Linked DNA regions of Oryzias latipes. The protein of the gene in region 1 purifies or fractionates together with the protein of each later gene. This does not show direct contact. Links are inferred from orthologs where the notes say so. Each region holds a gene or a part of one and is shown on either strand. Other genes may lie near its edges.

The links.
Region 2: the proteins of wasf2 (region 1) and brk1 purify together in Homo sapiens (co-immunoprecipitation; 3 studies listed by BioGRID and IntAct, with this or other methods). This does not show direct contact. The link is inferred for Oryzias latipes from reciprocal best matches to the Homo sapiens genes WASF2 and BRK1.

Annotation. Positions count from the first base shown.
Region 1 is NC_019869.2:21,800,235-21,804,613, forward strand, and holds the start of wasf2 (wiskott-Aldrich syndrome protein family member 2), read right to left. Parts: upstream 2,870-4,379; 5' UTR 2,739-2,869; intron 488-2,738; 5' UTR 457-487; coding exon 324-456; intron 186-323; coding exon 51-185; intron 1-50. UniProt on the Homo sapiens protein: Downstream effector molecule involved in the transmission of signals from tyrosine kinase receptors and small GTPases to the actin cytoskeleton. Promotes formation of actin filaments. Part of the WAVE complex that regulates lamellipodia formation.
Region 2 is NC_019863.2:7,144,505-7,148,276, reverse strand, and holds brk1 (protein BRICK1), read right to left. Parts: upstream 2,450-3,772; 5' UTR 1,945-2,449; coding exon 1,827-1,944; intron 1,492-1,826; coding exon 1,409-1,491; intron 1,333-1,408; coding exon 1,306-1,332; 3' UTR 530-1,305; downstream 1-529. UniProt on the Homo sapiens protein: Involved in regulation of actin and microtubule organization. Part of a WAVE complex that activates the Arp2/3 complex. As component of the WAVE1 complex, required for BDNF-NTRK2 endocytic trafficking and signaling from early endosomes.

The DNA of each region.
Region 1 (4,379 bases):
AAGAAACTGAAGTGTCGATGACTGATGTGACGTGAAAAAAAAGTACATACCTTCCTCCTCTTTAGGGTCTAGTTGGGTGACTTTAACCTGCAGACATTCCACTCTTTTGACAAGTGTGTCCACTCTAAGAGCGAAAGATCCGGCCTCAACAAACAGCTCCCCAAAGACATCCTCTGCAAATTTACCTTAAAAAACAAAGAATGTAGCTTAAGACAAAAATCATCCTTTTAAAAAGGCTTTAACCATTCATTTACTGTAGCAAATGTATAGAATGGGCCTCAAGATGTTACTCAATTTTTGCTCAGCTCCACATTCATACTCACTGAGGCTGCCGAGCTGTCGGATGATGTTAGCCAGGCTGATATTGGTGACGCATTCCAGCTCACTGCGGATGGTGGATGGGATGGTCTGGCGACACACATGCCGTGGCTCTATGTTTCTAGTCACCAAAGGCATGGTGGGGGTCGGCAGGTAGGACGGCCAAACCCTGTATGTGTACAAAACACGATTCAGTAATGAACTACATTCAAAAAGGGAAGAAAAAAACCAAAGTGTTTAGAGAGGACCCTCCAACCAGGTTGGTTTGCACGTCTGTTTGTGCATCCTGTTAAATGGTTAGCTATGAAAAATTCACATTCTATAACAGCCAGTGCTGAACTAAAGTACCTCTCTAACAATAAAGACTCTTAACTCATCAATCAGGAAAAGCCAATAAAGATTCATGTCTAACATTTATGAACAGCTGCAGCACAATGCAAAGACAATGTTCACTGGAAAATCCTATGTGGGCATTTTGGGGTTTGAGAAAAAATATATTCTAAGTTGGTGCAACCCTTTTAATCGAGAGGAATTTCTTTGTTTTATTGACAATGTTAGTAATAGTGTTAAAAAATTGGATACAAGATCTATGACCTGAAATACTGATGTAAACGCACAGTTATTTTCAGACTGAAATACTCTCCTTTTTAAGACCCACTTAATGAAAATTGTGTTTTTGCTGTTTTTAATGTGTTCATTTTTCTGATGATTGAGAACGTATATTAAGTAAATTAAGCATAAAGTTGTGTTTCTCAGTTTTCCTTTATCCAAATGATTATGAATCAGGAGCAGACAACAACAAAAAAATGCTGTTTGAAAAAGATCGTCTTTGTGACAGACAATAAAATCGACATTTTTTACAATTGATCAAAGTGGGTTTTTAAAGGCCAAATCTGATCCTACTTTTAGGCCTAAAGAAGAGAAGATTTTAATTCAAAACATTTGAAACAATCCTGTTTTTTTCTTCATTAATGGACTCAAAGCCAAAAATTCTGGCTTTGATTAGGCGTAAGAAGAGATGCAACGAAATTATTATTATTTTTTTTACCAACCTGGGAGAAATGAGTACGCAGACCAGTAGAAGGGTAGGTTTATAAAAAAAAAAAACCTAAAACAAAACAACAACAATCGGATCCCCTCTATTTTTCATTGTAGGAATTCATCACGTTGGTAGGTGAAAGTTTCCCTTTTTTAAGTTGAAGTCACTATGCAAGTACACACTGTTTTTAAAACCAAAGGGAGGCCAAATGGGAGGCAGTGGCTCTGGTGGTGGAGCAGGTCGGCGGTTCGATCCCCGCTCCCTCCAGTCAACTATAATTGTGTCCTTGGGCAAGACACTTCCCCTTCCCTGCCTCCAGTGGGGCTCCACTGGTGTAGAAAAGCGTATGAATGACGAGTGAATGAATAATGGACACATTGTAAGAGCTTTTAGTGCAGATAAATCCAATCCATTAGTATTATTATTATTATTATTATTATTATAAAAATATATATTTTTGAATACAATTTTGAACAAAGAATTCCATCAAAGCATGTGAATTTAAACCATCTCTGTGTTTTGCAGTGATAACTGGCCCTTAAGGACCTTTATAGACAGATGAATAACCAAACTCTGAACTAAACTCTGCAAAGGTCACATGCTTAGGCCAACATGTATAAAAATAAAGAGACAAAAAAAAAGCAGAAGCAAAACCCTGCCAGACAGATTTCTAACTACTGCCTTATGGGAACTCAATAGGTTCCACATGAAGAACTACGAAGCCTTTTTTATACTGTCTACTGAGGCAGCAGAAATCAAATTCTTCATTATATGGTGAATGTTGTTAACGTCCGCGCGCGCGCACATCATGCCTATGACTTATTTAGTTTAGTTTAGCGCGCGGAAAAAGTAAAGATAATGTCAACAGAGATATCTGCAGTGAGTGACAGCAGACCTTCAGAGAACTACTACACCCTGTCGAGCTCCATTCACACTGACAACAACGTGGGCGCTTTCATTTAAAAAAAAAGAAAAGAAAAGTCATGTATCACGGTCTAAATGCTACATGGCTAACTGCGTATTTATTATTTCCAAGGTTTCTACGGAAAATGCTCCGAATTGTTCGTTCCTACCTAAGCCAAGATGTTTAGTTAGCTATCTGAAACCCATGATGTTGTACCTTACAACCCCCCTCCCCCAGTAGAATAATGTAAGTATAACCATAATGTCGAGTTTTGAGCTTTCTCGGATAAACCATAAGAAATAAGGTATTTTTATTCCCACAACATTAGCTAAAACATGCTAAGTGCAACTCGGCCTCCTCGTCAGAGCAGGAAGTAACTTGTAGGCGACTCTTATCTCGAGGAAACAGTCAAACTAACAAATATCTACCCCCGTCACTTTACAAAGAAAACTATTCTTAAGAAAATATTTCACTTACCCGCAGAAATGGCACTTTCACGTTTTATATCCACTCTAAAAATTGTGCTGTCTCCTGATTTTCTTCAGAAGAGTTGAGCGGTACAGTAAACTGTCGAACGATACCAGGAGAGTAAGTCCCGGAATTCTAAACTTCCGATTGGCTGCTGGCAGACTTCCTCAAAGTTGATTGGCTCGTGCGACTGTCGTCTGATTTCACCAAGAACAGGATGTGGACGTTTCAACGTAAAACACGCAACTCCACCCTAACTAGTGACAAACATCTGTCCGCAATTTTCGTAAATTAGGGCGGAGGAGGGATTTTTTTCCAGCTTCTGCTTCAGCAAGTTGGAACGCGTCCGAGGAATGACTGGCATCTGTGGAGAGAAACACATGGAAGATTCTCTTTGGTTATATAGTTCAAAATATTTGATAAAAAGTTTTGACTTTATGGGTTTAAGGATTTTATTTGCACAGGCAGGTTCAATACTGTAAAAATTTATGTATACATTAATTTTTGTATCTATAACAAACGTACACATACTGTATGGAAAGACACTGGATATAAAAAATGTCTATTAAATGATTGGCGTCTATTAATTATGTTTGGGGAAGTTAGAACATAAAAACAAAATTAAAATATGATTAAAATGAAAATATAATATAAACAAATGTAGAAATAACAAATGGGAAACACATTCTCAAATCTTTTGTGAGATATCTTGTGGACAATGGTGCATTTAGATAAATTTGATAAATACTCTTATTTTGAAGACTTATATACAGAAATATTTGCTACAAACAGATTTACTCTCTTTGTTTCCTCTTTCCTTCTTTGATTGTTTTTGAATTTTCTGTCTTGTTACTGAGCCTTACATTTGTAAAAGCACTTCTGCTTTGCACATCTATAACATATGTTTTTGTTCCCATTTTTTAAATATATTCAATAGAAAAATGTCTGGGTTATGTTAACTATTCATATCATAACAGCTGATTGTTTTTGGAGGTGTGCAAGCTTAAACTGTGAGGATACAATCATGTATTCAGCAAAAAAAGGCAAAAAAATAATCAATAATTGCATCAAAGCTTATTCCTTGATGAAATTAGTGATAAGCAATGTCGAATTATGCAACTGGTTAACAATATGTTGTCTTTAAGTTACATTTTGTTTTTAAAAGAAAACATCAGTTGATATTAGTCTATTTTTTTCAGTAATTATTATGAGGAGACCAAATTGGTTGAGAAAGGTCTAGTATAGCGCTGCCAAAATTGTACTCAAGTAAAGCGGCTTTGTTTTTTTTAAAAAAAAGATGACTCTTGATTTAAAACAAATAAGGGAATTTGAGGTTGTTACCAGCCTTTTGTGGGGAAACAAACAATTTGACAACATTTTTATGATGTTTTTACTTTACTACATAAAGAAAGGACTGGAATCCTATGAGATCAAAAGTTTATTCCCAGCATGCAAAGCCACAAACACAGTTAAGAAACTATGGTTTCCCTTTAACCCTTGTGCTATCTAGATGACCCCACCCTTACATTGACGTGTTCTCCCTACCATGACAAAGGTGGATAAAGGTGGAAAGATTTCATGTAATCCATGGACACCAGTGAAGATCACAAATCATTCAAGAAAAAAGGTTAAGAGCACTGTCTAGTGGGT
Region 2 (3,772 bases), on another chromosome or scaffold:
ACGAGCTAAACTGGCTCCCCCACAAATGTTCATTACTGATCTGGTTTATTCTTCTAAAGTCTCAAAAACTTAACATGACCGCTTTCTTCTTAAAAAATGAGCACTCGCCCATTCCCCAGGCGTCCTCTCATAAGACCTCACTAAACAGCTCAGTGGAAAAAGTTTGCTGCCACACGGCCACCTCTCCTAAACACTTCCATATACCCTCACAGGTATGTGGTCGGGCCCAACTGCCGCTCTTCAGTCCATTTCAAATTTAAAGAGTTTTGTGACGTCATGCTTCACAACAACAGCCACCTTTTCTGCTCTGTGCTCCCAAACGTTTTCTGATCTTCAGACCTCCATCACACTCATGGAACTAACTGTCCATTTCCATCCCCGTCCTCGATCACTCCAACATCCTCCATATCCTCCCATTTCCGGCCCCTCAACCTGTATAGATCCACCCTTTTCCTCTGTATTTTAAAGAAAATATGCTTCCCATTTCTGTGGCCTGCAAGTCAGAATTAAGGGTAACAAAACAAACAAATTTCCGCCATTTTTTTAATTTAATTGGGAGTTGTAGTTTACAGATTTGTTACACGTTTCCAACATGAAACAAACAAGAAAAAAAATCTTATTTCATAAAGTTTGAATCAAAAAAGGACATTAGGAAAACCTATAATTTCAAACTGTAAAATTCAAAATACACAACCCCTACATCCCTTAGTTTGCTGTGATTGATGTGAACAAAATGAACGTGTTCTAACTTACCATATGCACAATATTATTTTGTTTCTTATAACTAAACTTTATACATTTCCTAATAATTACATCAGTAGGACTTTTGTAGTCCAGTTAAACATAATAGAGCCAAACAATGCAATGCCTTTATTTTCAGAAACATTTGCTGTACAAATATCCTCAATGGTCTCTAACTAATTACTTGTTCAACTTGGCACATGAGAATTGACCCCTATTTTTCTATATAAATCTCTGATTTGTTTATGACACTGCATGCTTAAAGTTTAGAGCAGGTCCATTTCTGAATATCATTTTGAAACCAAAACTTGATGATTCCCACTTTGTTCTAAAAAATAACAATGAAGTCAGCCACACCCCAAAGATGGACTCATTTTATGTTCAAAATTCTGCCATGAAGACAACACAACAAAGGTCAATCACAAGATATAAAAATGGTCCTTATGATGATCCCCCCTAAAAAAGGGAAGGTGGAGTCCAGAACGCTCAGTCCAAAAGCTCTGGGTGGTGGATGGATGGGTACACAGATTCAGGGAGAACATGAAGTCCCATCCATGGTCCTCTCTAGGTCAGGGTCTCTCCTTTTGTCACCTGCATTCACAAACAGAAATATGTAGCAGCTGCTTAGCATTGAGAATGGGAAACACGGAAGGGCTGTTCTGCTTACTCTGGCCTCTATGTACTCGATCCTTCTCTCCAACGCTGTCAGCTTCTCGTTGAGGGTGGCCAGGCGGGATCGACAGGACATGTCTGTTTGGGTTCAAATGTGGTAAAACCTTTAAAGGTGCTGCTAACGAACAGTCGAGTGACGACAACAATAAAGTAGCATTTGAAGCTTTTTCGGGTTTACAGTGTAACAGTCCCATGGAATTTAGTCTTCATTCTGTTATGTAATACAGCTACCCTGGACGGAGATATAATTTAAACTTTTATTTTGCTCTTCCCAAATTTCAATTCGTAAACCGCTAGCCTGCAAGCTAACTGCTAACTAGGAGTGTCCATTAAAAACATCAACATGGGCTAGCTTAACAAGCTATCGCCATCTTTCTACGCTTTCACGCCGAAGATGGTGGTCGAAACCTTACCGAAAGAGTTCAGAAAGTCGGCGATTTTTTTGATGCTGCTCGTTATGACTTCTATATACTCTCGATTCGCCCAGTCTTGGTGAATCTCCCTCTGAACTGGGTCTTCCTGGCCAGCCATGTTGGATGATTCTCCGCCCGCAGTACCGAGCACCGAAGCTAGCTATCATCCAGGAAGCAGAGGGCGCCGGTCGCAATGATCTCACTGTTTCCAGAGACAAGAGTTTAAATTCTACCGAAGTCTCATTTTCTATTTATATTATTTATTACAAATGTTAAACGAAAAATGCGTTACAGCAGCCAGATAGTTTTTAAGCAAATTCATCACTACTTTCATCCATGAAAAATTCAAAAATGTCAATAAATCCTGTATAATGATTTGATTTTGCATGGAGATACAATTTCTGATTTGTTCTTCGTGTAAGGCTGCTAATCCATGGCAACAATTCCGTCCCACTCCAATGAAAATGGTGTTTTTAACATGTTCCTTTAACATTTTCTCATAATCGAGGAAAGATATCAAGAAAGTTAAGCTTAAAAATGTATTTCTGTGTATTTCTTTCTTCAAAGTGTTGTTAATCATGAGCAGTTGGACCCATAACATTATGTTTGATTGTTTTTAAAGCACAGACTGAAAGAAAAAACAATGTTTGAACTGGATCAGAACCAGCCTGCATTTCAGCTGAGCAGTGACCAGGCACTGGACCGGCTGTTTCACAGCTTTGTTTCATACTCCCACTTTTGCTAGCAACAGCCTTCCAACAGTTTTCTTGCTCCAAGTCTAAAGTCACAAAACTCAACCAGCACCATAGAACTGGGGAAAAATAAAAAAGTCTTCCTATTTTGGGAACAAGCTCCTCTTTGCTAGCTGCCATTTTAATGACTGCGTATGGCAAGAAACTACGGAGCCCCTAAAGGGCCATTGAACAAAAGAAAGATTATGAAGCAAAAAAAAAAAAAAAAAAACTAACTGCACCCGTTAGTATTGGGTGCAGTTTGTTTTTTTGTTTTTTTTACTTAAATTTTTTTTCACCAGTTACTAACAGCCATTAATACAAATAACAAATGGCTTTAGTTTTTTAAAAGCTTTTTGAAACAAACCACATGACTTTAAAACCCATTTAAGATGACGTTCAGAGATGATGTAATTGTGACGGTAAGCTAGCAAAGCTGGAATCTCTTTGTAGACAAGTCAAAAAGCAAAGTAAAACTCAATTAGCTCACATAATGCCATTTCCAGGTAACTTGGAAACATTTCTCCGTGCACAAATTACCTAGTAACTGGTGCGCACCCGTTAGTTTTTCTTTCTTTTTACTTCAATTTTTTTTTTCCTTTTATTTTTTTTTTTCAATGGCCCTTAAGGGGCTCCGTAAGAAACGGACGGGCTGACCTTATTCCAAACAACAGAAGCCCAAGAAATCAGTGCTGGAAAAACACAATCCCAGTCTCCCCCAAGATAAATTGCAACAAATTCGAATTTATCGAAAAATTGATTTTTTTGCCTAGCCCATCAGCAGCCCTCTTTTTCTGTTTAACAGTCTCAAAGTGAACAAAAAGTTGTCCGTAATTTATTTATTTTCTAACTTGTCCTGTCCAACAGCTGAGCAAACAGATGAGAGCCGAAGGCCTCTTGTGTTGGACATATTTTAATGTTACAACGTGAAGTTATGAATCTTCTGACACACAAGGTGTATATTTGAATAAACCCCTTTTGTAATTTAGACAAAACTTTATCTATTAATTATATTTATATTAAATATATAGTTGGAGCGTATGGAAAAGAAGGGAAGAAGAAAAAGGGGTTTAAGGGAGGTGGGGTGGGGGTAGGAGGGTGACTGTGGGGGGGGGGGTTAAAATCATAAAGCAACAAATTGCTGGAAGTTTATAATCATTACTGTCAGATTCAGATGCATAATAAATCTAAAAGGGGCGGGGCCTGTCCACGCAC